Linked DNA regions of Styela clava. The protein of the gene in region 4 purifies or fractionates together with the protein of the main gene of each other region. This does not show direct contact. Links are inferred from orthologs where the notes say so. Each region holds a gene or a part of one and is shown on either strand. Other genes may lie near its edges.

The links.
Region 1: the proteins of uncharacterized protein LOC120347059 (region 4) and ATP-dependent DNA helicase Q4-like purify together in Homo sapiens (affinity purification with mass spectrometry; 3 studies listed by BioGRID). This does not show direct contact. The link is inferred for Styela clava from reciprocal best matches to the Homo sapiens genes SIRT1 and RECQL4.
Region 2: the proteins of uncharacterized protein LOC120347059 (region 4) and DNA topoisomerase 2-binding protein 1-like purify together in Homo sapiens (affinity purification with western blotting; 3 studies listed by BioGRID, with this or other methods). This does not show direct contact. The link is inferred for Styela clava from reciprocal best matches to the Homo sapiens genes SIRT1 and TOPBP1.
Region 3: the proteins of uncharacterized protein LOC120347059 (region 4) and protein ECT2-like purify together in Homo sapiens (affinity purification with mass spectrometry; 3 studies listed by BioGRID). This does not show direct contact. The link is inferred for Styela clava from reciprocal best matches to the Homo sapiens genes SIRT1 and ECT2.

What each region holds. Positions count from the first base shown.
Region 1 is NC_135263.1:5,657,155-5,664,695, reverse strand, and holds the start of ATP-dependent DNA helicase Q4-like, read right to left. Parts: upstream 3,212-7,541; 5' UTR 3,003-3,211; intron 1,723-3,002; exon of another isoform or gene 134-1,722; intron 1-133. UniProt on the Homo sapiens protein: An ATP-dependent DNA helicase which unwinds dsDNA with a 3'-overhang in a 3'-5' direction. Does not unwind more than 18 bp of dsDNA. May modulate chromosome segregation. The N-terminal domain (residues 1-54) binds DNA Y-shaped DNA better than ss- or dsDNA.
Region 2 is NC_135257.1:5,646,404-5,654,148, reverse strand, and holds the start of DNA topoisomerase 2-binding protein 1-like, read left to right. Parts: upstream 1-4,584; 5' UTR 4,585-4,665; coding exon 4,666-4,740; intron 4,741-4,989; coding exon 4,990-5,104; intron 5,105-5,931; coding exon 5,932-6,116; intron 6,117-6,616; coding exon 6,617-6,798; intron 6,799-7,639; coding exon 7,640-7,745. UniProt on the Homo sapiens protein: Scaffold protein that acts as a key protein-protein adapter in DNA replication and DNA repair. Composed of multiple BRCT domains, which specifically recognize and bind phosphorylated proteins, bringing proteins together into functional combinations.
Region 3 is NC_135261.1:7,398,938-7,407,084, forward strand, and holds the start of protein ECT2-like, read right to left. Parts: upstream 3,119-8,147; 5' UTR 2,968-3,118; coding exon 1-2,967. UniProt on the Homo sapiens protein: Guanine nucleotide exchange factor (GEF) that catalyzes the exchange of GDP for GTP. Promotes guanine nucleotide exchange on the Rho family members of small GTPases, like RHOA, RHOC, RAC1 and CDC42.
Region 4 is NC_135260.1:19,827,646-19,835,683, forward strand, and holds the start of uncharacterized protein LOC120347059, read left to right. Parts: upstream 1-4,872; 5' UTR 4,873-5,002; coding exon 5,003-5,108; intron 5,109-5,864; coding exon 5,865-6,086; intron 6,087-6,493; coding exon 6,494-6,621; intron 6,622-7,179; coding exon 7,180-7,299; intron 7,300-7,711; coding exon 7,712-7,804; intron 7,805-7,879; coding exon 7,880-7,980; intron 7,981-8,038. UniProt on the Homo sapiens protein: NAD-dependent protein deacetylase that links transcriptional regulation directly to intracellular energetics and participates in the coordination of several separated cellular functions such as cell cycle, response to DNA damage, metabolism, apoptosis and autophagy.

The DNA.
Region 1 (7,541 bases), on a different chromosome or scaffold from region 4:
CGTCTGACCGTAGTAAGTACCTGTTTGCCGGCAGACGGTTACTGGACTATGGCTATATGCCGATATGTTTATAAGACTACCGGTATAAGATGAGTCGAAATAAAATTTTCTTATCATACGGTACCTACCGTACCATTGGTCATTGCTGAAATTCGTTCGATATTGTACGGTGTCTAGACCAACTTTTCAACAATTTAATCAATCATTACCTAATTTGTAGTGTACCAAAGAAGTGCATAAAAAATGGCGGTAACGCATAACGAATGACTTAACGGTCAGACGGTAGAACAGGGTGCGAAGCCATTTTCAAAGCGAGAAACTGTGTGGAGAATTCCAATCCATAATTCTTGCAGCGGCAATAAGTAAAATTGGCTCCCATTCATATTTTTGTATTGTTCTTGTCTAGAATTTTTTTTCGAATGGCTTTAACTAAAAAATGCCACAAAAGATACAAATTGCAATGAAAACTTAGCAAATGACTTTCGTAACCACCGGAGGCATTTACGCATGGATGCGTGAACCGACTCTTATTTTATAAATAGAACATGATAATCTGTGCGTAATGGTAGTTTTATTGATATCATCGCGTATCTTCGCTGTAAGAAGTCGTGAATTTCGTTCCCAATACGTGCATTTCGTATGTCACTCAAATTGCAACCTCGTATACGACACCCCCATCACGACTTTCAAACGCTTGCAGGTATATATACTTTTAGTTTCACATCGAGGAACGGTCACGATAGAACACCTTTCATTCGTTGAATGTAAATTCTAATATACACCAAAACTATTTTATTTCGATTATTTATAACAAATTCAAAAAACAAGATATCTATGGTCAAATATGCGGACATGAAAACCAGTGAAAGCAGTAGGGTTACGGTGGTCTACGGCAGTGGTCCCAACCTTCCTATCCTGGCGGACCGGGAAAATTAAATAAAATGTACTCGCGAACATTGAAATGAGTGGAACAAAAATAATAATATATACATATTAACAAAGTCGTTAGTAATTCGGCACCAGGCTCAAAATCCGACTGTGTATCACTTGGGAAAGATCTCCGCGGCCCAAGCTTTTGTCGCGCTCCTCGTGGCCACCTACCTGTAGGGCCGCAACAAGTTCATATGTTACTGGATGTCAAGGCGAAGCCCTGGAATATTATACTGTTCTTGGCTGTTTTCTGGTTTGAACAAAGAAATATTCCTAACCTTCTATATGGATGGTCTTAATCAAGCAGGAAAAGCTAGCAGAAAAGAAAACACACGTGTGATCCCTTGGTTTCTAAATCTTGTGAGATTTGACAGAGCGCTTCCGCGATGAATTCATGGTGAGCTGTAGCCGGAACGCACCAGAACGGCGTTCCATTTGTTGGACATTTTATTGCATTTGCATTCCTGTTGTTAAAATAAAATTATGGTACAAAAAGTCTAATTTCTCTGGTAAACCTAGTTATCAATTTATGTTTTGTTACATCATAGTTCGTAATTCTTTTTACACCACATCACGCAAATAATCAGTAACGAGTAATAGATGTTTCCCCGGCCTTTGAAATTCATCCCATACCGTTCTAATAATAACATTTGTATCGAATCGATATGAATATTCTTGTAATTTTACACAGACATACCGTATTCCCCCGAAAATAAGACCTAGCCTGAATTTTGAAAATGATCTTAATATAACACATCCGCTTAAAATAGGACCTAGTCGATAACGCGAATTTTTTTCTACCTAGTCGATAGCAAGTAACCTCTCCTACGCGTTTTAAATGATCAATAATCCATGTTTTGCAGTTATTTTGAATAAAAACTGTTATGTATAAATAAAAGGATATCGGTTTCCATATTATTTTGTATATATATATATATATATATATATATATATATATTTGGAAATCTCGTAATATTCTACTTTACAATTTTGTTTTTGATAAATGAAAATATAAGACATCCCTCGAAAATAAGACCCAGTCCTTTTTTCGGGGAAACACGGTAGTCCAAATAATTTCTTCATATTTCATTGTAGTATTTTGGTTCTATCTTAGGTTAGGGTTAGGGTTAGGGGTAGGGCTAGACAAAACTTTCTGTAAACGTCCGCCTCGTGCTGTAAATATATATATTACATTTTTACGTATGTTAGTCGTTGATTTTGCGAATTAGGTGCGTTCCGGTTGTTACGATTTTTCCAGCTCATCACTGGATGAATTGAAACCGAAAAAGCGAAGACGCCACCGAGCCATTACTGCCGCACTTATCAAACAGCAATATGGCGATGGAAGAAAAATTGCATAATAAACCAATGCAACTTCGGTTTCGATAAAGCGTTCGAGAAAGCATAAAAAGAATGAAATTTTTAAAGCAATTGGTCCAGTATTCGAAAAGAAAAGCGATTTTATCATGATGAAGACGAACAAGAACAACAACAAAATATTAAAACGATCCATAGGTCCACTCACGTGTCCAATAAAATTAGTAATAGAGACAAATAGAGAGAAATTGACGGCACTGGCAATTTTGAAAAATTAGGTAAATAATAATTAGATAGAGAGAAATTAATGAGCTTGCAACAATGAAAACACTTGCAACAATGAAAACACTTGCAACAAAGACTATTTAGAAAATTATATAAGGGTATATGTATGCATAATACACTGTAAAGAAGATAGCAATGATTCTTGTAAAAAGAGGGTAAACATAGGCTTGCTCAATGAAATATCGTCTATCGAGTTTGGGCATATCAGTGTGCCAGTCAAGCTTTTAAAGCGCAGATTGATGACTTGTTTTGGATGAAATTCAGGGGAAAATACACACATGCCTCGTGCAGTCAAGCTCCAGATTGAGGCGTGTAGTGAAGACAAGGGGAGGGAGGATATATATATATATATCGAAAAATAACTATAAATTCTATTTTTATATTTCTATAATTTCGTTTTCTGCAAAATAACTTTTTTTTCGTTTAGATTTATATTGTAGATATTTTAATAAACTTTTGTCTACACTTACTCTGTAGATGAAGCATTTCAGACGAATTAATCGTTGCAATCAAATAGACTTATCGCATCATCTCGCACTTGGCATTGCTGAAGCGAGAGAGGATAACAGCAGAGTCAGATTAGCGTTCCATAGATATCCATATAGCTGTATCATCAGTTGCGTACTATTTTGATTTATATATACTTCAAATGCAATTGAGCAATAGTAATTCAATGTCCATTTGCACTCCAAATTTGTTTAACCTTCCTTCCTACAAAGATTTGAGTATATAGAAGTAAATAATTTTCTTGAAAATTTACCAATTTTCACCAACCTTCAAGGGACCATGTGTTGCAGCTTCCAAGAATCTAACACATCCGCTGCGTATGGAAAATCCCCGTATGCCTCAATTTTTCATATAGAAAACTAGTTATGTAATTTTGATTAATTGTAGCAGCGTAACATTAGTATTTCAGGGAATTTGAATGATCAACCAGAAAAATAATACTGGTTTGACAGTTAGTCCGCAACTGAACGCGGGCAATAATAAAAGATTGGAGGCAATCCAATTTAAGAATAATAATTACACCACGCTTTTTATAACATAATTGTTTCTGTATGGTTATTTTGATCTGGAGCAGCGTACCACTTCTAGCTTTCGTTTGGCGGTGGTCGTTCTGTTTCTTCTGTTAAATTTAATATGGCTACCGCTGTTTGAGGAAGCAGTTTGTAAGCGAAATATCAGAAAGCCTGTTGACGTGTTCAATCTGCCTTTGAGCCTATTCAAACCCGAAAGTGCTGTCCTGTCAACATTCTTACTGCGCAAAGTGCTTGGAAGGTATGTGATTGATGTACATCGTTTTGAACGCACTCACCACGGGGTGTCAGATGTACAAACAAATGAGGTATTTTGAATGAAATGTTTTTTATGAGGCTGTCCCACACTTCACTTCCGAGTGAATCTCTGTACAAGCGGCAACCAATAAGTAAGAAACCGACGTTTTTGTCTTTCATTACAATAAAAGTGAACTCCGTTTCAGGATGGCTCCAACTAGAAGCAAGAAGACTAAAGGTGTGACCGAGGTGGAATGTGCTCTTTGTCGCAAGAGTACTGTTTTACCGCAACACGGGGTAGAAGCTCTTCCGAACAATTATGTCATCAACGGATTATTAGCAATGCTAAAGAACCGGGAAAAAGAAGTCGCGACGAAAAATACAGTTGACATAGGTACAACTTTAAGGAAAGGTGTCGCGAAACCAGTCACTAAAACAACACAATAAGCCAAGCTTCAAACAGGTACGATTATTACAGTCAGAAAGCATGCAGGCTTCAAAACATGCGCAACCATCTTCTAGTAAAAGATATTGACATTCTATAAGTTAATTTAATTTCCTAACCGACCAAAAGCTGGGCCGCAGAATATGCTTTTTGTACCAGAAGAAACAATTCTCAAACAATAATTCTCATTCTCAAAACACAACGCGTTCGTTGTTTTACCGCCTTCGATGTGTTTTAGTTCAAGGACTCTCAGCATCGACGTCTGCAGCATCGAAAGTTGATGCAATGTTGAGCGCCCTTAGCAATGCGAAACCGAAATGTGCAGGTACTTTAAACGCTGACAAAAGCACAAATTCAGCAACTACTGAAAACAACAAGATGAAAATGCTAATGTAATAAGACAAGTTACAAAAAAGACTTATTAGACGTATGGAGAAATGAAAGTAGGAATCGAGGTAATGATAGTTTGCTTTGTGTAATCAAATTTTATTTGCGCCGGAGAGGGTATCATGGTATCACAAGTCACAAGATGGATACAACTTTTTCGTTAGTCAAAAATCCAGGAGGTTTTAGCTTTGCGCATTGAAAACATCTACTGCTTTTTGTAGAAACTTTCCATAGGTGTCAAGTATTCACGGCTTAGACATGAACCTAGTTCAATACATAAAAGACGCTTTAAGTTTGTTAATAGAAACCAAATATTTTCGATTGTACACACTACACAGTGCTATTTTTAGACTAAATATTTGGATGAAAGTTGTCGATTTTAATACTATATGGTATTTGATTCAAGGTGCGTGTCCACAATTGTTATAATATAAAACATTCAATTAAGGTGTACTTCATCAATCGTCATGGCAAAAAATTCCCCGGAGTTGTAAAGTTTCTCGATAGTTGTCAACTCAAAACATCTCGCTCAACCTCTCATGTTTGCTGCAGTTTAGATGGTGAGGATGAATTTTTAACAAAGATTGTTGCAAAATCGATTTTGTCGTCTATCGATATACAAATTTATATTGCGATTCATCAATATTTTAGGAATATTTGAACATGTCCAGTAGTATGAAATTCTGATTACAGAAACTGATGTAGTAAATGTTTGTTGATCACTAGACGATTATCGAAAATTTTTTGATTAAGACGATCAAACAATACGATAGCCCTGGATAAAACACTTTTCTTGTACAATATTTTACACGGCTCGCTGTAATTTTTTGTACATTTTCATTGCGATCATTTTAGTGCACCTCTGAGATACACGAATAGGCATTGATTTCTTTTTCTTAATCCGGTATATTGTTCAGGAACTGGGAAACTCAAAGTCACATCACTGAAGACACGGGAATCTCCTATATTTTGAACAATGCTGTTTTCTCATCACCGTGTCAGTGAACGTGCAGATGAATGCATTCCGGTTTCACTTGTTAATAATTTGACAGACTTCAGTTATTCGCATATGTTGATTTTGCAGAAGTAGTAAGATCATTGGATCATATGAATAACGTCCTTGGTCCCAATAAACCATACCTTTATAGCACCACCTGGTTGTATCACTCACTTATTGCTTGAAGTGTATTTTTGTGAAAGTTTTGAAATAAAAACTGGCAGATTGAAAATAAAAACTGGTATTCATGTAAATGCTTTGTACTTTCGTTTGGTATTTTGTTGATTACTGTTCTCTCATGTCATCGTTCAAATAACGAAGAAATAGTAATAAAATGAATAATTTGACGGCCCATCATTATCAGAAATAAGGAAAATTTGTTTTGAAAACTAATGGGAACACTGCACAACGAGTCGCTAATACGGTCTATATGTCCAACATCCGTGCGTGAAGATATCGCAAACGGGTGACGACTGGAATTAAATATTTGAAATCTGACCGGATTTCTGACCAAAGTTGTCCCGTCGGCATCGAAAATATTAAACTAACGAATATTTTCCAAAACGAGCGATGTTCATTCATAGTTCATGTAAAAGCTTGTTAGAAATCAACACAAATGTACGATAGTTACTGGTCTGCTATCAAGCAATGTAATTTCTTTGTACTGAATATAAAGTAAACATTTTTATTCGTTTTTCACTTTTTTAATCTTGCTCTAGCTCATCGATTATAGTATAAGATGAAAAATGCTTGCTCAATAGCAACATATATACATTGACAAACAATTGATACTCCAAACATTAAGGGGGGAAAGTTATTCATATAGCAAGACGACACGAGAGAATCAAGATTTTATTTTCATTCATTCATGTTGTGTAGTGAAATAAAATAAATGTACGTACAATCCACCTCACATGCCAACGGTCTCGGTTCACTATATTTCATGAGAAAGGCTTGGTGTAAGAAAATATATTTTGCATTGAAAAAGAAGAGAGACTGCATAGATTAAAAAGAAAGATCCCCAAGAAACCACGAGGACAAAGGGAACCCTGCAACATCAACAAAAATCTATTTGTATTTGTTTTTTCGAATTTCTTTCATATTCAAATTCGTGTGAGGGATTATAAAATTTTACGTATAATCTACTTCACATGCATACTACTTAGTACACCAGGGGTCTCCAACTTAAAAAATGTCATGGGTCACTTTTTGAACTTTATTGACGACGCGGGTCATAACCTCGGTATAAAATTAATATACGAAAAATACAAAAAGAAATCTGAATGTATTTAAATGTGTTGAATGCTGGGGTCCTTGTGGGCCGTGTGTTGGAGACCCCTGCAGCACACGATATATCACGAGAAATGCCTGGCGAAGGGAAATATATTTTACGTTTACGGAAGAGAAGAGAATTAATACAATTAGAAGGACTGACTATTCACGAACCAAGGACGAGGGCGAGGGAGAATCCTACAATGTAAATGAAAATAAAAGTGTAGAAGATTTTCGTGGATTACTTATAAATTAAAAGCAATAATCGATATATCATGAAAAATGTTTAGTGAATGGGAATATATTTTACATTGAAAAAGAAAAGGGATTCAATACAATAATAAAAAGAAAAAACATTCGCGTACCAAAAGGCGCATTCCTAACGATTTGAAACGACGCGTCACACCCACGAGCCTACTTTTATCATCAAGTTTTTTCCTTTACAAATCCAAACTTTGTCAAGAAAACCTCATATTTTTTGAATTGTATGAAATCGTGGTAGAAGAGGAGAACCACGTGTATACGCGTGATTATGGAAAAGTTCCTTCGAAACTATTTTCGAATATCAATATATATATACGTATGTCATGTATTGTACAAATATGTGAAGTTTTCATCGAAAAAAACGAACAAA
Region 2 (7,745 bases), on a different chromosome or scaffold from region 4:
ATATTTACAAGTTAATGCAAATTAAGCCTCAAAAAAATTTGAAATTAATTTAGAGGTGCAGTCAAAACTTTGGTCATGAATAGCAGTGTGATAGGCAAATGTCGGCTGCCAACGACACAGAATCACCCGAATTTGTTATCGCAAAATTGGTCAGTCGAGTCGATTCCTAAATGTTTTGTGCTTCCTGCTTTGGATATGATCGTTGACATCTGAACGACCGCCATGACTAATAGAAAAACAGATCTGCAATGCGTACAGTGTACCTTTCCTCCTTCAGTTTGCTTCAAAAAAGGAAAATCTTTCTTCAACTCATCAGAAAACTTGTACTTTCTTTTTGGCATTTCGACAACCTAACGACATTGCAGTTAACGCCAGAAAACGCATTAAAACATATACCAATTGTGACATAACAATAGAGCGATTTCTCTCTCCGAACTAGCAAAGTGTGTCGCAAAACAGTGGTAAATGGGCTGTCACCGTTAAAAAGAAAATTGTGATAATAATGAACATAATTTTTTTACCCATGAAAGCCGTGCTGACAAACCGGGACATTTGATTCAACCGGCCGGGACGCCGGGACAGCTTGTCAAAACCGGGACTGTCCCGGCTAAACCGGGACGTATGGTAAGCCTATAATGAGAGATCATCTTGATGCTGCAACTGTTTCGAAAGGGACATCTAAGGATATCCAAAATGATTTGCTCGACTCAATGTATAAAATTTATTTACAACATTTGGCTCTGGAAATTGAGAATTGCCAGTTCCTTTCGATTCAGTCTGACGAGACAACTGACATCACGTGCGTTTCCCAACTGGCTGTGATTTTTCGGTTTGTGAAAGATGGTAAACCTACCGAGAGATTTCACAGCTTTGTACCAATCGTTGATCGCACGGCTTGCGGGATATCGGCTGTACTGAAAGAAGTGTTACAGCCTTACAACGCGAAGTCAAAATTGATAGCTCAAACTTATGACGGCGCGGCAGTCATGAGTGGGTCGAAACATGGTGTTCAAGTTTATATAAAAGAAGATTTTCCTCATGCGCATTTTTTACATTGTTATGCACCCCATTTTAACCTCGTTATTAAAAATATGTGTCTTGATACCCCTCTCGTCCGTATATTTTTTGCAAATGTTTCGGGGTTTTCTTCATTTTTTTCCGTTTCGCCGAAGCGCTCTGACCTCCTTCGCCAGATATGTAGCCGCCGTCTCCCAGCTTGTGCACCAACACGTTGGAACTTCCAATCACGCGTGGTGCAGGGCGTGTCCGAAATTAGGTCTGAGCTCATTGAGTGTTTCAATGGCATTCAGAGCTCTCCGGTTTGGGACGAACGCTCTGTGAGGGAGGCGGCAGGTCTAAAGCGTCTGCTAGAAGATGGTGAGTTTTCATTTTTTCTCGCTTTTTTCTTCACAATATTCTATCACGTGGATGTATTATACGGCGCATTGCAGCCAAGGCTAACAGATGGAGCGTCTGTGCAGTCGTGTATTTCAGACTTCTGCGATGCTGTATCTGGTATCCGAGAAACAATAAAATACGACGACACATGGAGTGCTTCTTTACGCCGCGGGCAAACAACGCAGCGTTTGATTGTGTCTGCAAAGGAATGCTGTGACATTCTGGTGAATCAAATAGGCGATCGTCTGCGCACTGAACACCTTGCCGCGTTCTCTTTGATGAACCCCAAAAATTTTTCAAAATTTGCACGTCAATTTCCCATCCATTTGTTGGCTACTGTCTCCAAATTTTACCCCATGATAAACGTGGGTAAATTGGAAAATGAATTGCGATGTATATACACCAATCAAACTTTTTTGAACATCACATCAACTTGCGCGCTCTATGGGTTCCTCATAGATAACACTCTAGTAACTACCTTTGCGGCGTCTGCAAAATTTCTGGACATCATTTTGACGACGCCTATTTCTTCCGCCGACGCAGAGCGAACATTCAGCACGCTGAAGCGTATTAAAACGTATCTCAGAAACACAATGAAGCAAGATAGATTAAATTCCTTGGCTGTTTTATCCATTCACAGAGACGTTATTTCTGGGATGCATGACTTTAATCAGCGCGTTATTGAGCATTTTGCTTCCAAGAAACCGCGGCGTGTTGCATATATGTTCAAGCAGTAGAAGTCTAGCAGCATATATATCTATGAGTGAGCGACGCATGTTCTTATCTTTGCATTACCTTTCCTTTCTTCATAGTAACGTTTTAAACCTTATTTTAGGTTTTGTCTGCTTTCCCGAAGTTTCTGTTAATATGTCATTGTATTTATCTGGGTAAATATTGCCTTTCCGTTTGAAAGAGGTTTCAAAATAAACTATGTCTATATTTATTGATCCCTTGATTTGGACCGGTTTTGAAGACACTTTCTTATCGTTAAAAATTGTCGCTTTTGCCGATTGGTTGTTACCGATGGAATGGTTTTTATACTCATAAAATGATGGGAGAACTTACAGCGCTCATCCTGTCCCCGTAGATGGGGGTGACTTGGTCCAGCAGTAGCTTGCCCCGGTTGTCAAAATGACCACGCGCCGCCACTAGTAGTGGTATATATTTACGGTCTGACCAAGGTCTGGCTGACCAATGACATTGGGCTGACTCAAACTGTAAGCGTGGATGACTTACATTATTTGGCTTTATATTATTCGATTCCGAACCTGCAACGAAACTGATTGTAGTGTTGAAACAATTCATCTTTACTGCTTGTTATGCAAAACTGTATGTGTTGGCTATGCGCATTGCAAAAGACACTTCGAGAAAAAACATGTGAGAAGAGCCGTCGTATATCAACATTATAAATGTCCGAGATTCAAACTAGATGATCTAAGACAGAACAATATTAACAACCACGGGTTCACATGGAAATCACGCAGTGATTACTAAAACTGAACGACGCCTGGGAGTATGCAACAGAGGATCTGTCGATTTTCAATAATGATTCCATGAAAAAAAATGATAAAATAAAACTAAATCTGAACGAGGCCTGTGTGAATACACCAGACCTGACGATCACCCAAAATTCAATATTGAATCCATGAATCAACATCAAACCCAAAATAGAGATCAAGATGTGCTATTGGAAAAATGACCACTTGTCCAGTATGCAGAAAGGAAATGTGCTCAAGAAGGAAATGTGTCTGGAATGAGTCACAGTTCGTTGGAAATCATATTACAGTTTTTCAATCCATAGTTCTTGTTATTGAAAAAAACTGTAAGCTTATTTTAATTGCATCGAGTGCAAAACTTAACAGTTATTTCAGCCAACTTTCTCATTTACACAAAGTCGCTTTGAAAATTGTAATAGATACCTAACAAATTAGTAGTTGACGTAGCCAATTTTGTAGTAACATAACAGACATAGCAAGCATCGCCATTTTGGTAGAGACATAACCATTTTAGAATGGACATACCTTCTTTGTGAGGACATAGCAATTTCAGTACGAACATAGCCATTTTCACAGAGACATGGCCATTTTGGAAGTGACATAGCTTTTTTGAAATGGATATAGCCATTTAAGTAGGGCCATTGCCACTTTAGTTGGGACATAGTGGGCATCGGCATTTTTGTAGGGACATACTCATTTCAGTCCATTTTACTAGAATCATAGCGGGATCATTTTAGTAAGGACATAGCCATATTAATAAGGATTTGGCGGACATAGCCATTTTAGCAAGGACATAGCGGAAATCGCTACTTTGGTAGGGATATAGCCATTTTGGAAGGAACATAGCGAAATCGTGAATTTAGTAAGGATATAGCCATTTTAGTATAAACACAGGAAACATAGCCATTTAGGGTGTACATAGCTATTTTAGCGGAGACATATTGTATATATAGGCTTTGGTGTACATAGCCTTTTTAGCGGGGGCATGTGATTTCTACCGTAGTTGGTGAAAGAGTAATTTGGTAATACATTTTTGGTTTGTTTCTATGATCACATAGGCTATATCTTTAAGAGTATTTTTTAAACAATAACAATAATATTTGATTAGTCGTTTTTTGTATAATCATGGACCTTTCCCCGAGCATCGACTTTCTTGTTTACTTCGTGACATTGGCCAATCAGCAAGATGCAACAAGTAACGTAACAATGCCCGCTTTTTACATCCGCCCAGACACTTTTCTCACTCAGACAGATTTTCAGACGTGGTTGTGAACATCACCTCGTTTTCGCGTTTTCGAACTATATTCGTTAGTTTTCAATTGTGTTTTGGAAATTTAAATGTAAATCGGATAATCCAACGATCACTATGTATTTTTAAAAGTTTTAATTTATTCGCAGTAATGAAGAATTGGTGTAGAAATAGCTGTGATAGACTAGTCTAAAATTTCTTACTGGTACTTTTAAAAAACTGTTCATTGTACGCGATGAATTATATATAATAAGGGTTTTAAACAAATACCCCATTTACAGGGGCCAACTCGCGGAACTACTCCTAAAATGAGCCCCGCAAATTTTGCAATGGTTAAGAATAGGAAGAATTTTTCTGGTGTCAAAGGTCAAGAAAAGGTCTTAAATTCTTTTTTAATGTCCGGTTAAATACTGTCACCAGGGACGCCATTGAGCAGAAAGGGGATGTTTGGTTCCCGGCGCGAAATTTCTGAGCAGTTTAACACAACTCTGCAACTAGGCTAGTTCTTTTAATGCCGTATTCATGTCTTCTCGGAATGAAGTCCGATTTCTTGCATTCACTGAAGAAGGGAGAGAGAATGTTGAAGCAGCTCACAAAGTAAGTCAATATCGGTACCGCATTTTTGCATTTTGGACAGGATATTATTCACATAACGGTATTTATCCCGGGGATAGGAAACCCGAAAACACAGAAACACGGCCTAAATATGTTTATAGTTCAGTAGTCTGGATAATGCTGACGTATTGCAGGAATAGGGTTTTTTCTGAAAAATACAGAAATATAAATTATAATTCTCAATTGAATGCGAGAGCAGCTCAATAAATACAGAAATATGACTTTTCACAGCTTGCTTCTGAGAATAAACTTAAGTGTACATGGGTGACTGTAGAAGAAGTGAATAACTTGGAAGATTCTAAGGACAGCAAGGAAGAAATTGTGTATGTTGCTGATCCAATTGAAGGTAGGCCTAAGCCTGTGTCTGTATTTTAAAATAGAAGAATATTTTTTGTTTTACCTGTGACTGTTTGGAAAAATATGTAGACTATGTTATTTCCAGATTTTTTAATGTGATTTCGTTTTACGTGTTCTACCTTCTCATTTAAATTTGGAATTTTCAAAATTTGAGGCAGTAAGATTTAGTTGCTCTGCTGATTCTGTAATCAGTTTTTATTTGTTTGTTTTCATCAATTGTTTTGTTTATTATGCTGATTATGAAGTCAAAATTAACTTATACTTATGATTCCTAGATACATGTAAAGAACAGTACGTCACAGTTTACTGATTCCAGAAAATCCAATTAAAAGACAACAATTATAACAGTGAAGGCAAACCCGACCTTTACGAGACGGTTTAAGTCTCCATATCGCAACATATCGACACACCGGTACTGTGCAATATTCTAATAGGAAGCGCAGTCTAGAAATAGCACCATCCTCAGAAAAAAATTTTAACAGAGCATTCGATCGGAAGATTTTAGCAAAAACGCATTTGCCGTTGTGCAAGACATCCTCGTTTTAGAAACAAATAGAGTTTTTATTTCATTGAATCAAATGTTGGCCAATCTTAAAAATCGGGAAACTGTGATCTACTGACTTATGTTATATAACAGTCTTATGTAGTTCATTTATTTCAGTAATTGATAAACAAATAATTAATTTGCTCCTTAAATTGAACAGACTTATTGAGGGCACAGTGACTTTGGTTCATTATATGATCAAGCCATAATTATTATCTTTCTTCTCTCTCTCAAGAAGAAAAGAATCCTTTAAATAACTGAATATTTTCCAGGTCCTGAAGTTGGAGATGTTATTGACCATCTTGTGAATCTTAACTATCCTGTACTTGGTCCACAATGTGCATTGACTGTTCTAAAACATGGAATCAGACTTCAAGATGATTTGAAATATCCTCTTTATACTCTCACATTGCTTAATACAACAATTTGTTTCTCAAATATTCAAAATGAAGAAAGAGTATGTGTATTATTATTTGTAGTGAAGATACTATCGTTAACTTTTAAATATAAACATCTATATTCGGACCAATTTACTGGGGAAAGGGGTTGTTTTTAAATTTACATTTGAGAAAAAAAAAATTGTATACATAATGCTATAATGACAGATTTTTTACCATCGATTTTATTAGTGATAATTCATTGTAATATTTAATCATTATGCCTTCAAAGGAATCTTCTTAGTTATTTATATACTAATCATATTGCTATAAATTACAGAAGTCAGTATGCAAAGAGAATCTGCTATAAGCATAATAGGTCATTATTTGTGGAGCTTTGCCTCTGCTTTATTTACATTTTTTGGTATTTTGTTAGTGATCCACTTTGATTTTAATTTATTATTATCACTTTTATTTGAATTTTCTGATATAAATCAAATCAAGTTTCAGTATTTATCACTAATATCACCAGTACATTCCTTACATAAAAAGTGATTGCCTTTATAATGCTTTTGTGTAGATAGAACTTGTGCATCTAGTTGAACTTATGGGTGGAAAAGTGTCACGACCATTGCATTGTGATGTCACTCATCTTGTTGTTGGTGAAGTCGGTTCTGTCAAATATTTTACTGCAGCTTCAATAAATATTAAAATTATGACAAAGGAATGGATATATCATTTATGGAAGCATGGAATGTCTAGGTATGACAGAATTCGATCAGTGATAACAAATATACGCCTGTGATGTCTGTATAATTTATATGAAATTGATGATACCGTGTTTCCCCGATAATTAGACCTCGCCTGAAAATAAGACCTAACCTGGATTTTAGAAAATATTTTAAGATAATCTCTCCCTTTTTAAATAAGACTTAGTGGATAGCGCGAAATTTTTTTGACCTAGTCTTATCATATTTTGTATATTTGAAAATCTTGTAAATATCTACTTTATAATTTTGTTTTTGATAAATGAAAATAAAAACATCTTTCCAAAAGAAGCCCTAGTGTTATTTTCAGAAGAAAATTGAAATACAACCCTGTTTTAGTTTCGGGGAAACACTGTATATATTTATAAGTTCTTATCCAAGAATCAAAATTTGAGATGAACACTTTTTTTATAGTATTTATTTACAAAATAGGTCCATGAATACGTCCAATGTACATGATAAAATTTGGAATGAAGAGTAACATCCTTTTCACACAATGTGTTTATTCACCTTTTTACTCTGACCTAGGCTCTGAACGATCACCCAAGCTATGTAAGGAGGTTCTATAGTTTGGCGGAACCGGAATATTTCTAATTCCTCATTGTCAGCTCAATTTGTGACACCTTGGGTAAGGTGGTGCGCACAGGACTTGAACCCAAGATTTTAACTTTAACCAAGCTTTGACTTTTATCACTACATAGGAATGCCAGTATTTGATTTTTTAAAGTATTATTTTTGACTTGATATAAGATTCTAATATTGTAATATTTGGATTTGTCCAGTTTCATCTGATTTAATTATTTTTATTTAAGCTTAATAAATATTTTTTGTTTTAGGTATATTTGTGCTAAAGATGGCAAATGGGAAGAATTTTTGTGCCCGATATTTCTTGGATGTAAAGTTTGTATGACAGGTTTTGGAACAACTGAGAAAACCAGAGTT
Region 3 (8,147 bases), on a different chromosome or scaffold from region 4:
TGGAGGAGTTGGAGCTTGAAATTCATGACCTTTGGTGTGAGCGAGAATTCCCGGATAATGATTTGCAGGTCCTTGTAAACTCATCATACTCATTGAAGGTTTCATCATTGACTGCGATCCTGTGAATATATTCTCCTCATTTTCAGCTTGATAACTTGAAGAACTCGACAATCTAGTGTGACGTTTAGGCGTACAAAGACTGTTGATGCTCATTCCAGGCGTCAAACCAGAAGTTGAAGATCCAGTATGGTAGTCGGAACCATCGCCATTTTCGTCTTCAAATAATTTGGATGCGGGCCATGCACGGGAAGGTGTTGCACCTAATCCAGGTGTTATGTGATTGTTTGATGCTACTGCTTTCATACTTGGGCTCATCATAGTTGAAACGGCTCTTTGTACCGTATTTCGTGGAGTCCGACTGAATGAAAAAGCACGCGTCAATTTCCTATGTGATTTTTTAGCAGCTCGGAAAGCCCTTCCAAAAGTGGAACCAATATCTGTAGTGCTAATATCTAAATCTTGAGAGGACAGAGTGTGAATAAAATTGTCATCACTGGTTTTGCAAACAGTATTAGCACGATGTCTAGAAATGAGCTGTAGCAGTCTATTTTTTCCTTCATCTCCCGTTAAAGTTGCATTAGGTTCCTGGTCCTTTTCGTCAACTTGGCCACCACATGTACTTGAACATGTCACAACTTTGAAAGTATACAACCAATCTTGAGTATCTGTTGGCGTACGACAGAACAATGAAAAAGCACTTTGGCAATCATCAGAATTTTTTATATTGACAACTTTTTTGATGTGGGAAAGTGACAAGAGTCTGATATGTTTGAGAGAGCGCGCAGCCGATTGAATTCCTGTGTGAACTTTCGGACTTTTAAAACTTTGTGTCTTTGCGCCGTGTTTTCTTTTGGCTATCTCAACACAGTCAGTAAACAGAAATAGACAAACATGATCTCCTTTACTCGTTAAATTATCGTCAACTGAGATCAATTCTGAGCGAGTTACGAACTGCCTATGTGAAGAAACAATTGTGGGTGGACATCCTTCAACTTCATAAACAATATCAAAAATTTGTTTTTGCGATTCCGTTTTTCTTTTATCTTCGTTGATATGGGTCATTACCTCTTTAACTGCATCCAGTGCCGTTTGAATTCCCAACACATCTGGGTGATTTTTATTTTCCCTTTCTGTGTGCTTTTTAATATCTTGTAAAAGTAAAAGTATTCTGGGTAAACGTTGTACTGGGTTGATAAGTAATTCAGCAAGAGTTTGCCTTCCACATTCTTTCTTAGCTTGGTTAATTTTCAAAAATGCATGAAATCGGGGCATTGTAGATTCACACGAGTCAATCATCTCTTTACTCATCTCAAAGAAATTTACAAAAGGGGGATAACAACGCACAAATTCTTTAGCATATTTATCGACGATACATCCAACGCAGGATGAGTCACCCCATGTCTCCATAACGTTTGACAAATCGGCTGCCATTCTCGTGTGTACTTGATGTATTTCAGGTAACGATCCAAATATTACTTTAATATTTTCGCCAGGAAGTATAGGTCCGCCAGCTTGTCTTAAATCTTCAAGTGGCTTTTTGAAGACGTTTATAATTGTATTTAATATTCCAACATAATTTTTCTCGGTTTGTAAAAACTCCATCGCAACTTGAAAACGGGCAGACACAGCCTTTTTTACAGCGTTATTTGATGAATCTTTCATCGAATCAGATTGACGGGGTGAACTCCTTGTTTTTATATTATTTGAAATGTCAAGCATTAATGATTCGTTCATACACGTAGTCATATCAGTAGATTTTCGTTTTGATGCAGGTTGAGATCCGCAGTCCGTATCAGAATCCATTGCTAATTTAGCCAAAGTCTCTTCCTTCATTCTTGATCTTTTTCTACTGAAGGAATATTTCGACGAGGATGAGGCTCGTGAAACTCCAGATTCGCAACTTGATTTTCTATATTTATGTGGTGTACCTAGTAATGATGAACATGTAGAACTTCTTGTCATTGTTTGTTTTGTTTCGGGCATTTCGAATATGTAAATTGATTCAGCAGCTCTGGCTTCAATCTGTATACTGCCCCAGAACCATTCTTGAACAACAACAAAGAGTTTTCCTTTCGGTTCAAATGAAAGACTCGTAACGTTATTTTCATCAACGATTACATGTGTACATGATGAATCCCCGATGTCTGCTGTTTTTGCTCCTTGTTGCAATGCTTGCTCTTTCATATGCTCACATTCTTCAGCAGGGAATCCATAGAAACTCAAAACGCATCCTTCGAAAGGTTTCGCTTTGCATGGAAAAACAAATTCATCATGAGTTGCATGAATTCCAGTTCTTTTTCTTGCGTTCCAACACAAATGAACCCAATCTTCTCTCATTATTGGTATGCCAAGGCTGACAGCCGTACGGTATTTTGGTCCGTGAAAGCCATTAGTAACGAGAAAATCAATTTTTGCACTCATATCTTTCTTTATACAAGCTCCCATGTAATGACAAGTTGTGACAAGCCGTGTTAAATGTTCTTTAGTTTTGAAATTGGTGAAGCAAAGATTTAATCCTTGCATACAGCTACAATATTGGGGTCTGTATGTATACGGCAAAGGTTCGTTTGTAAGAGCAACATGCATTATGACCGGCGATCCCAAGACCCTATGAACAGAATGTTTTAAATTGTGGAAATACTCGCTGTCGAACTCTTCAAGTACAAATATAGTTTCATATTGATCATCTTCCAAGTCAATGTATTCAGAACCATCTTTAGATGCGACAAATGGTATATTTATATTATTTAAAGCCTGAATAAGTTCGCTATTGTTTGCAGCGCTATCAACCAGGCAAACTCTAGGCTCAACTGAAGAATGATTGGGTGACTTCATAAAGTTCATAGCACTTATTTCAGAACTTGCTGTTGCCGAAAGTTTCAAACTATGATCTGAAAATTCAGCCATTTTGGATGTACTTGGCTGTAAATCGTCAATTTATATCAATTTTCAAAAATTGTGCAGACTGGCGTCCATCATTTGTCAGAATCAGCAATTGTCTAACAGTACAAAGCAATTTTAACCATCCTAAATTTTTAACACCTATTCAACTGTAAATAACCAATATAAATTTGCAAATTATTACCCGTTACTGTGAAAAGAAGAAAAATGACAGAAATGTCATGGCGGTATCCTGTCAACTTTTAATAGCCATTTAACACTGTAAACCATATTAATCATGAGCATGAACCAATATCCCAGTATTACAGATGACCATAAGCAGGATACTACAATGTTCAATATTTCAGTATGTTAAATAATAACGTAATACTGTAATACAGTACAGTGGGGCACAGTACCCAAATGTATCGCCATTTGATTTAATAAAAGCAACACAGTATTTGTTTTTGAAACAAGGGCGTCTGGAACGACAACAGATGTGTCAGATCATGCGAGATCGTCTCTGTAATAATTGCGAATTTTTGCTAAAAACTCATGAAAGCTGTGGTAAAACTTTTTTCCTTCGGTCTGTCGGTAAATCAGATTAGATTGCATTTACTTTTATTTATTTCTATAATTGTAAAGTGCCGATATAAAGGCCCAGACAGTTTCATAAAAGGAAGGTTTGCACTCAATGTTAAAATTAATGTCTTAATATTAGGGCTATTATTGAAATCGGAGTAAATTTCAAGTCAGTACTGCAGTAAGTCAACACAATTAAATATGGCTATTCCCAGCTAAAACATGCAAAACAACAAATTTTACAGAGAAATATCAATTTTAGATTACAGAAATTCAATTATCAAAATTCTTAAATCCAATAAATGCGGTATTTCTGCATTAATTTTGAATCTCATTCGTAAACTAACGTTATATCTGTCTATAAAAATGTAGTAATGTTAATATTAGGTACGGTACCAGTATCGTAACTTACGTAGAGAGATTCATTCCCACAAAAACAAATTCGACACTATTCAGCTCTTATTACAGTATCATAAACATAAGCCAATAAATAGGCTAGTACTGGAATAAAAGTACTGTAATAGAAAAAGTAAGTACGGTACCGGTAGGTACCGTAGTAGTAAATGTGCTGGAATAAAATATTTACACATTCTAACTAACGTTAGACTTACGGTGACGCGATTAAAACGACAAGCAACAGAGCGACAGATTAATTACTAATTTTGCGGTACACTTTCATAAAATATACGACAAATCACTACCGTCATACCGGTACCGTACTGGCCTGTTGCAATATTTCACATTATAACAAAAGCATAGGCAAAATGCCGAAGTACAGACAGAGAGGCACTGGCCGACTTGGAATTCAAAAGTTTTGTTCGTCGGCCAATCCGTGAAGGCATTTTTTAAACAATGAGCGGGTCATGCATTCAGCTTACTAGCGCCTACATTGTGCATAGAGAAGTATTTCAGATTAGATTTCAGGGTTAGTATATTTGAATTTTCACTCCTGTTTGTTACTGTTGTTGTTTACATAAATGCTTTTCACTAAAACTAATGAATAATCGTTTACAAATTTTTATCAATCGAATATGAAAGAAACATTTGTTGAAGTTTCGCCCGATTCCGGTTTAATAAAAACATTTTTGCCAAACTCCAAATTTAAAAAAAAATCCTGGAATTTGATTGCGTGGAAATCGAATTTTACAGATGAAACCTTGATCGTAAGTTAATACAATACTTTAGAATATATGTTGCTTAATTTTAAATGACATTGAAAGACAAATAAACACTTTTCCAGCACAACACTTGTAGCACCGCCAATACAGCAACCCTCCAATCTTCTCGAAAACTCTCTTGTTCATTGCTACTTTAAGTTCCAATCCAACAAATTACAAATTTTACGCGCAAAAATTACATTTTTATTGTCTTGTCTTCATAATTTCGCTAAGAGAAATAGGACTGGTATTTATATAATAAGTTAATAAACGAAATGTAACGGGAAGCTAACATCTTTTCGAAAAAATTCGGAAAAAAGACGTCAGAAATTCCGCCTGCAAAAAATCTCCATAATCACACTTTCTATTACAGCGGAATGAGGTACATACGGAATGTCTGTACATTTTTCAGTAGACTTGAACAAAGAATTTTACAATGACATGCATGTATTTATTACTATGGGTGTTCAATAAAAACATATGAAATCCTATTCTAATATCCTAAAACCCACATGAATATCATATTCCATTGTAGATATCTATATGACAAGAAAGCTAGATTCCTTATCGAATTCCACAATACGTCCACCCAACCAAAGGTTCCCCTAAATAATTATTCCTATGTACGGATGTATACGTAGCAGTTTATCATCAGTGAATGAGAGATTGCGTATTGTGCCTAATATTTAAATTACTTGAAAATAATTTTCAGAGGCTGCGCACACGCATAGATTTACTGCGCACAGACGTATTTCGATGTGATGTAACAATGTTTTCGGTTGGCAGGTTGAAAAAGTAGTTGTTGGCCCACTTATTATCCGGTTAGAACGCCAAAATTTCTTCATTGGTTTTTGCACAAATATTAGTCCTTTCCAAAAAAGTGCGCACACACCAAAATTTCTGCGCACACATACTACAAAAAATTAGAGGGAACATTGGCGATGAGGATGGGATTCGATCCCACACAACAATATACCCGTATTTCTCCGTGTATAATACGCACTTCTGATCTCAGATTTCATCTTCAAAATTAGGGGGTGCGTATTATACATTGGTAGCCTATAGAAAATTTTCAAAAAATCATGATCGATATTTTACATGCAATTGCAAAATACACATGTTTTCTTTCCGTCTTATTTCTATTAATTTTATGTGACAAAGTCCGTAATAACCAGATCATGCTTGTTGCAGTAGAATCACACCCATAGAATGGACTATCTTGTCTAACAAAGGACAACGCATCTATTTCAATAACCAGTGTATATAAGTGATAAGAACGTCACTTCAAATCGATAGTTTGATTGTTGTTGTCCTCCAGTCTGGCATCCCTCATTTCTGTTTTACCGTATCGGCAAAATTGAATGTTCCTAAATCATTTTTTCTCACTCTGAATTGCGGCTTGTTTCATTTCTCTCGTTTTGACCGATCGGCAAACGGGCAAACCTAACGCACACAAATCTTTTTTCCCCAACCATTTTCAAAATTCTCTAAGATAGGTAACAGCACGATAATTCAAATCTGGGTAACAGCACTCCGAGATTGACAGACACAGACCTGTCAATGTCATAAACACTTGAAACATATTATTAAATCACAGTGAAACTTGCTAGGCTGGCTTCCCGAAAATACCAAATGCGGTCGACGCAAGTGACCGAAGTGAGTGACTGAATTCGATCATGCGTAATATGCATGAACCTTGATATTTTCATACAATCCATCCTAAAAGAGCCCTGCGTATTATACACCGAGAAATACGGTATATTATAAACGTATATATTATAAAGTTCGTGCCGTGCTGATAAAGACCTAATTTAGCATTTTCTACTTTAGTTTTACATACATAGTATACTTTATACTATGTTTCACGCAAAACTCACTTCATCTACTTTTAAACAATGTCCACGTGACAAACTAATAAATCTAAACACATTTACGAATCCAATCGAAGTCAATGGATATTAGAAAAAATGGCGTGGTTTTATAAGCACACTGTTCTATTGTCAATCTTGGTGCAACGTTATGGATCGTTTTTCATTTAAATATTCGGCAAGTTTGGTTAAATTTTTAAAATCCCCCACGCGTATGAAAAAAACTTTTGGCGAAATTTCGGAAGCAGCTCCTTTTGTTGTGCCGTGTATTATAGTAACAATGCCGCCAACGAGTTTGTTAAAGTAAGTTTTTTCGGTTATGTAGTTTCTACGGTGAAAAGAATTCTCAAACGACAAGTAAAATTTGAATGACGCAAAGATTTCAAGGAAAATAGTAATATCAATTTCAACAGGGCGGTTGGCGCACTTCCCGAATTGATGAACACACAGTAGACCTGTGAAGAGAACTTTTGGTATACTTTGGCATTACATGATTTCCAAGTTGTCATTAGGCCTGATTACATGTCCATTAAAACTAGTCCAGCGAAGCGGTTCGATTCGGAAAAGTCAAAGTGGTCTCGGAGACCACTTAGCGCCCTCGAATACATGTCCAAACCAACGAGATGAGTACAGTTTTGGAGCTGCCGGACTAAAGCAAATACGTCACGATTTGCAAACACTACATATATTTTTTTTTCAATAAATTCAGAAATTCAACACAAATGTTAATTAAAGTATATATCAAAATTATATGCGCGTTCTTGATTGAAGTTCTGTGAAGTTATTTGTAGAATATGATGGGGGTTGCTTTCCCGTTGAAATTGACCCATGATCTATGTCAGATCGGATTCTAATGTTGTTGTCACGTATGCTGGTTATATATTGTATTGATTGAAATGATACAATTAGTATAAAGAGTTAATGTGTGTCTAACATTTGGCACAAAATATTTGTTACATATGTAAATAAAACTATAGTGTATGTTGAAAATGAGCATTGATTTGTTCTACAGTAATAGTTTTATAGCAAACCATTGGCAGCAAAATTTTTCCACGTGTGGGTCTAATCAGATAAATGTTGAAAGTTTTATTTATAGTTTTCCAAAAGCCAGAAATGGTATGTCAAAAACAAATCTCCAAACTTGCAAGAGTTATCTAAAAGTTTACAGTGTCTAATTCCTTTGCCATACTTGCCATACATCATTTCCCAAGTTGTCATCTTCAGATCGGAATCTTCTTGAAATGTTGGTGTCGCTGTTTCATTAAGGCAACCCTTCACTAGTTTAGGCCCTCAACAGCGAAAAGATTCACTAAAAAAACGAAAGACAAGACAAAGAAGATGAGTTACGCCGCCGTCGCGTCTTCGTCTCCTGCCGCAGCATCTCGACCTCGGACGCTCTTCCTAAAGACCGACAAAGACGTGGAATTCGCAGAGATGATGGTCTTCTTCAGAAACAACTCGCGGACAAGAAAGTTCTGCGATCAAATCGAGGGGCTGTTTGAAGGTCGCAAAGGGACTTGAATCCTAACCTTTGCGGCAAGAGTTTTTTTTAATCTACAGGTATGGAGATGGAAACGTCTAAGAGTGCCATTACTGTGAC
Region 4 (8,038 bases):
GACGGGCCGCGTCATCTATAGCGGCTCGCCGTTGTCGAATGGTCACACCACATTGACCACTACGATCCGATTCGTCCAGATTTTCTTGAGAATCAAATCGGACCGCAGCATCTCAGCTGTTCTAGCGGTGTGCTCACGACAAACTACGTCGACATCGCACCTAGAAAACCTGGCTGGAGGTAGGTGAGCCAAGATCTCTTCCTGCTGCACCGAATCGTGCCGCTCTTTAATGATATTCATGACTGGGTGACAGTGATTCAGCATATGAGGAAGAGTCTCGTTTGCATACCCACACTTGCTACAAGTCACCCGTGGTTCCGCATATGCCGTAAACCGTCTACGAACGGATCGCAGCGGCAGAAGATTTAATCGAGCTTTCAAAAACCACGAACACTGATACTGGGCGAGAGAGACAGACGTGAAGAGCAACTTAATTTATGTGACTAAATACAAAAACAGCAGTTATCATTCCATTTGGACTACAATACAACCCTAACCTGTATCCCTACGTTATATTACAACCCTAGTATAAACCTCTTACTTTTAAACCCAATTAATAACTTCGATCCGAATCGTTTATCCTAACCGCAGATAGTAAACCCAATATTAAACACGATAAACAACTCCTAGCGCAATAGATTACACTGAATACAAGACAGAAGGTGCCAACCAGGGCTGCCACTTTTGCCTGACTAAAAACATCTAGATTGACCTCGAAAAACATCTAGTAACATCCCGATTGAAAAATAAAACATCTAGAAAATACATCTAGATATCAAATCCTTGAGTTTAATGCAAAGTAACCATAATACAGTAATATTAGATGTCGAAGAAGCTAACATCCTAACCTAGAACTCAATTCCCACCTGCAGAACTTACAAAATACCTTATTCTTATCATCTGAAGGGGCAAACCATTCCTTAATTAAGCCAATCTTTTTTAAATTTTTGCTGGTAGTGTATACACTTTGGCATTTTGAAAGGTTGATGTTTAAAGAGAGACACATTCAATAGCCCTAGTTAGCAATAGTTTCTATTTAACGTTAATTAAAACGTCACATGTTTTGAACATGTTAAATTCGTTATTCAAATATTTTGAGTACATATGGCTGTATGGTACCAGTGGACGAATACAATATGAGTGAGTTTTATCAATCTTAGTCAATACTTATAAATAATGAAACAATATTCATTCACCTATTACAGTATTATTTACATCTCTTTATTTATTTCCCACTGAAGAATATTTATAACCTTGAAAAAAATATCTAGAAATTATAGCTAACATATAGGCTCCAAATTTCACATCTAGATTTCGAAAAAAAAAAAAAGTTGATCTAGATGTAAAACATCTAGGGTTTTATTTCAAATGGACACTAGACATAATAAATGAGTTGATACATACTGATATGGATGGGCAATGAAGATTTACTCCAACACAGAGGAGCACTCTGCACGTGGTTTAAAGAAAAGTGTAGCTTACGTTCGGATGTACATCTTTCATATTTGGTGTATCTTGAAAGCATGGATGAAGTGCTTCAGTCGCAATAAAAATCAGGAGCTAAATATAATTCAGATATCAGAGTACTGTTGTAAAGCAAAATCTTTTTTCAAGCCTCATGTTTTGATAGACTCAGTAGCTGCAAATTCATAAACAACATAATTGAAAGTGTTATGACAAAAAAAAGAGATGCCTGAAATAATTGCCAGTAAAATGATTAGATCCGAAAATGACATTTTGGAATATTTTAGGGGTGCTGTGTTAAAAATGTTGGAAAAAATTTAAATATTGCGGTCATCCAGAAGATGTCTGCTACCACTTTTAGAGGATGGAATTTAGTTTGCTCATGTGTCCATCTACAGAATACCTGTATTCATTAAGCATACCTCAATTGAATTTTAAAAGAATGAATATCCCAATAAAATTCAGTTTTTGAGGTGCGAGTAAAAATCCCAATAAAGTTTAGTGCAATACAGCGGTGAGTAGTGACAGATGTTCTTCCTAGTCAATATTTCAAAAACTTCACATTGAAAATCGGTCTTGTGAAGAATTGTCAGATGATATCGAATAAGTGATATCATATAGATTTTCGTGTATTATGGATTCAAAATAACTTTTATTAAAGTGTAAGTACGATACGGTTCTCAACCTTTTTTAGTGTCAGAGCTTGTAATTGGCCTTGAATTTTAACTCTGACGTCTGGGAAAACCGCACTCGTGATGGATGTAGCAATAAATATTACAATAGCTAGATTGATATTTATATCATGACATCTATTTCAGTCCGAAACATTTTTCTTTCCAATCACATTGAAACGCCCGATTATATTTATAAAGCGTTGCGAGCCTTTTTAAAGGTTTGCTTGACAAAATAAGAATTAAATATTTTGTTCGAAAATACCTAATATTAGCACAGTGTGCGCAATAACCTTCTTGTGATTAATGGAAACAATCTGAAACGTAGACTGGACATTGGGGGGTATTATGACATCATAATGAGTCGTTCCTTATATTTTCGAGCAACGTCTGGGCAAAGTATGAATCAATGTGTAATCCTTTGTCATTGAATGATTTCCAATATTTACGGTACCTTATATACAACCTTCCAAACAATTTTATATTCTAATTTTCACACCCAGAGATAACATAGGAGTAACTTTGAACGTATATCACCCAAGACATTTCGGGGAGTCAACAACCGTATTTGATAAAGGAGATTTTCAAACTAACTAAACGAACAAAGCCACATTTGTCGTGGTTTGAAACACACCTATCGAAACCTGCAAAAATGATCGGATTACCTAAAAAGTCCTCCTCACTATCGGCCCTACATAATTTCCAGATAAACGTGCTATTACAGTTTTCCAGGTTAGGATCGTGTCGGCCGTTGATTGGTCGTGGGACGTGATGGCGAGTGGCGACGTTTTGAATTTGGAGTTAGGTTTTCCAAATTTAGGGACACTCGATTCGGGCTACACACATCTTTCAATTGTCTCAAATTTTAAGTTGTTTTACTGTTTTATTATCAATTCTTATATCAATTTTACCGTTGTTTTAATTGAAGAATAATACCACACAATAGCAGTACTAAACAATCAAAGATTCACTCGTTTTACATTGTAGACAATAAAGCGGCCGTCAAAGAAGCCTCGTCTCGCAAAGAACCGTAGGTGAAATACCTGCGTACTGTACAACTTTTCTGTGATTTAGTTTCTGCGTCCACATTACAAATAATGTGTGTTCTTTCAGCTTAGATTCAATTAATTTCAGCTGCAATATTCCCTAATTCCCCAAATCCCGCATTTGCTGAGTAAAAATCCGGAAACGTTGGTTCCAGAAATTTCAAATAGACAATCCCGAAGTGTGGAGTGGACTTTTGAACTTAGCTTTCTGTGCAGTGAAACTGACGTTACTTTGTGGTATGCAAGACAAGGTAGGGTCGGATTTACATATTTATGCTCGGGGAGAGGAAAGCCGATAATGCGTATCAACCATACGGCGAACCACGGCCTCTCGTCCGGTTACCAGTCCATGTTGGGTATGGGATTAGTTAGCTAGATATTTGTTTTCAGATACATGGACTTGATGACGGAGGAAGCCGTGTACCACCATACGGCGTAGAGGATTCCAGCAATCCTATCACACATAATTTACTCCTCCTGATATTCGAACCTACGAACCAAGGTAATCAAAAAATATTCATTTGTCGATACATTCACTTGTCCGTTCTCAATCCCTTCTTGATCATTGCGTTTTTTCTTTGAATGCTGGAACTAAAAGTTACTATTGCATGTGCTTTCATACATTTGCCATAGTGCCAAAATCATAAATCCGGTATACAAAAGTACTTAGTTAAATTTAACGAAGAGAGGATAGGATTTACATATTTATCCCGGGGGAGAGGAAAGCCGATAAGATGGCTTATCAATATGGCGAACCACGGACTCTCGTCCGGTTACCATTCCAAGTCGGGTATGGGATTAGGTATATTGTTTGTTTTCGGAAGCATGGACTTGGACTCTCGTCCGGTTACCATTCCAAGTCGGGTATGGGATTAGGTATATTGTTTGTTTTCGGAAGCATGGACTTGGTGGTGGAGGAAGCCGTAACCGACCAGCGGTTACGTGAACCACCCAACGGCGGCGAGGAGTCCAGCAATCCTCTCGCACATAAACATCTCTGCATGGGATTCGAACCTGCGAACCCACGCAGAGTAATTAGAGGTGCGGAGGCGAGCGTATTCCTAATGATTAGCCCGTTGAGCCACACCGCCGCGCCGGCGACTTGGATGTTATTTGAATTAGTAATCTTACCATTGGATTCATCCCATATAAACTTGTTATTTAGCATTGATCGCATTATGCAATTTTTTTAAATCCTATCTCGCGACCGCATAAAAAGCTTTCGCAAGCAGTGTGCGCCCGCCAGCCCTACGTTATGTAGCCTATAATAGCCTGCGCCTACCGTATCCTGATTTCATAATCGGTTTTTATTTATTTGTTCCAAACAATCACTTTATTGCCTTATTTTGCTGATTAGGAGGTTGAAATAAACTTATACTTCACTGCATTTAAAAACTTCATATTTTATATACTTTTCTATTAGTTTATAATTTGGCTCGTCATTTAGTGGTGCATCGAGTCATATGCGAATTTTTCTATAACTAAAATATTTTGATTCCATTTAGTACGATATCCACACTACTATTAAAATAGCATAAAAGTTGATAAAAGAATATTTATATATAATTTAATTCTTAATTTCTCAAAGATCTTGATTATAACAACCCTTTTGTAATTACACATCTCGAATCCGGTACCGGTATACGCTCCTGCACATTATGCCTTTGTTCTGATTTGCGATTTCCCAAATCCCAATGGCTTATGTGGTTCTGCCATCTTTCTAAAATCCTAGTCCATTTTTACAAATTTCAAGTTTTTTGTTGCTTTTGTGGTTTGTCTTCAGGGCGTTCCAGCGTTAGATAATCAGCTTTTGTAAGTGTCATGGCGGATAATATGGATGAAGATGATTTGGTTGTACCGTACAAAAAACTAAGAAAAGAGAAGGCCGGAATTGAGGGTGAAGATTTTGGAATTCAACCCAATTTAAGTGAGTTTATTTTAAAAGTTTTTATGGTACCGGTATATTGTGTACCGTACAGCCATATAGTCTACAGAACTCGAATGAACTGGATGAGGATATTCTGACAAGTCCAGAAGTCCTGTTGTTTCTAGCCATCACCCTCTAAATTCTAAAACAAAAGTCGCAATCGCTTGTTTCTCTATTAATTTGTTACACAACTGATTATGTTAGTCTGTGACTGCTAGGCTAAAACCTCCTCGAATATTTATCAAAATTCCAAGCACATTAATACCGTCAGACCGTATTTACTTTGACTTCATGTTAACATCATGGTTAAGATGACATTGCTGGGCTAATTTTCACTGTAGATTATTTACTTGTCATGTATATTCCTGTATTCTGTACCGTAATTTACAAAAATACAATGCATTATTTCAAAGTGTCTAGTGATGTCATTTCTGTATTATAATACTGATAATATGTCCAAGTCCAGAGGTCGTAATGAAAAAAATCATAATATGAGTCTAATTTTCAATGCATATCTGCGTATGACATCATTTATGTAGTCTTGATGCGGCAGATTCAAAGATTGATAGTCGTAGCCCTGAAATACCAAGTCACAGATCAACTACAAACACGTCGATTCAGTTGGTTGGCTTTGGGTGAGCTTATAATGTTAACCCTCGGACATAGAAAAGGTATTAGAAATGCATCAAGTGGGGAAAATTTCACTCTATCAATGCTTTATGTTTATATCAATTTGTTTTTTTCTCGTATTTACAGGTTCTCATTTCTCCAATGGGCTTGGTGATTCAAAGTATAAAAGTGGAGAATCAGCACCAGGACGTCATCTACGTTTTCATTCCGTTGAACAAGATGATGTCCAGAGTAGTTCAGGCAATAGTAGTAATATAGAAAATGAAAATCCCAATGATGAAGATAGCGGCAACATAAGTGATTCATCATCTCATGCAAGCTCTGGGGATTGGCAAAGAAGACCAGCTGGTTTGTAGCGGAGTTTTATTCAAAATTACGCTTTTTCAGGGTTCATTTTATTAATTTCAAATACCTTTCCCTCTTATTCTTAAGTAGTGAATAATTTGGTAATGATGCTTTTTTTTATTACAAAGCTGTATCCAATTCGAGTTAAAAGAATTTCGATTCAGATTCCAAGTTTTCAACATTATTTTATTCAAATGCCTGAGCCTTATTTCGATTAAAAAACTTGACTCGACTACAGACTGACTAGTCTCAAGACTCCAATGGCTTGTGATCCACGGTTTAGGGACTACCCGACAATTATTATTAAACACATTCATGCGATCCACTCTGCAGCGCCGTAATATTGTATCATAAAAAGTTTAAAAAAAGTGATATTATTCGTTCCTTTGACAAGGTATCTTTCTTCACAGGTATGATTGGATGGGTTCATGCACAGATGTTGTCAGGCGTCGATCCTAGAGAAATTCTTCACCATCTTGTACCAAGTTTATCCAGTAGTTTACCTGTAGACATCAATCCATTTACGTTATGGAAACTTGTGAGTTTTTTTTTACCTTTTAACCCTAACAAAGCTGTCTTACAACCCATACGCTGGTGAAAAATCTTATTGCTCAAACATAGTTATATTTATGAAATTGATGCTGGCATTTTAAAACAAAATTTGTTTTGAAAAGTCTCTTTGCCATTGGAAACATGCAACTGCATCTTTTTTAATACAACATTGTTGAAGGGCCGCCACACTCTAATTCTAAAATGAAAGAATTGGTATTTGACTCGACTTGGCACCGACCTAACGTGTATTGCCATAGCCTCGGGACTCTGTTGTCGTTATCTCCTAAATGAAGATGAACCATCCAACCAACCAAAGCGTCGTACGGCTGTACCATAAAAATAAGCAACCACTATAATTCGAGGTGGCACCTGGCCAACTTTGCATGCTTGGTGATGATCGTGATGCAGACACTATTCGAGGATTGATATGAGATCGCAATTTAAATTCAGAAGGTCCACGTTAAATCACAATCATATTCAGGCTATCAAAATCTTTGCTCTTTTGGTTGTCTTTTTCAAACTTATACTTTTTTTGCTATTTCAGGTTTTAAACATTCTGAGTGAGCCACAGAGACGACCAAAGTTATCCCACATCAATTCATTGTCTGATGTTGTCAATCTGATAAAAAATGCAAAAAATATATTAGTACTAACTGGAGCAGGGGTGAGTGATGTTCTATCATCAGAAAATGTAAATCTTCAATAAGGCAAAGTGAGAACTGAAGGGACATGATATATATACGTAAATGACTTCATCGAAAAAAATTGTCACCATCAAGGTTTATCAGAAAGCCGCCCGTCTTTAGTCTGGCCATCGATTATATGGTGGCCATTCGGTGCCCTCATTATAAGTTTATATCTGCCCTAAAGTACAGAAATGAGAGGGAAGACAAGCCGTGAAGCGAAACATCTCTTTGTTTGACATGAATATTTATCTCGGAGCAGCTAGACGCCATATTTACAGATATTATAGCTTAGTTCTGGTTAGTTCATAGCTCATTTATAACTGAGTTTAATTGAACTCAGAAAATTCTTCCCTCTGTCTGTTGTCACTAATTTAAATCTATGTTTGCAAGGTTTCAGTATCATGTGGAATTCCAGATTTTCGTTCCCGCGATGGAATATACGCTAGACTTGCAGTTGATTTTCCTGACCTACCAGACCCACAGGTTTGACTTATACTGTGTAAAAGTTTTCATGAGCAAATTGCATGACATCATAAATAATATTTTCTTTGTTTCTAGGCGATGTTTGATATATCATATTTCACACAAGATCCTCGACCATTTTTTAAATTTGCAAAGGAAATATATCCAGGACAATTCAAACCTAGCAGAAGTCACAGGTAGTTTTCAAACTTTTAAATTTTAAGAATGATAGATCATAGATGATAGTACTTTTTA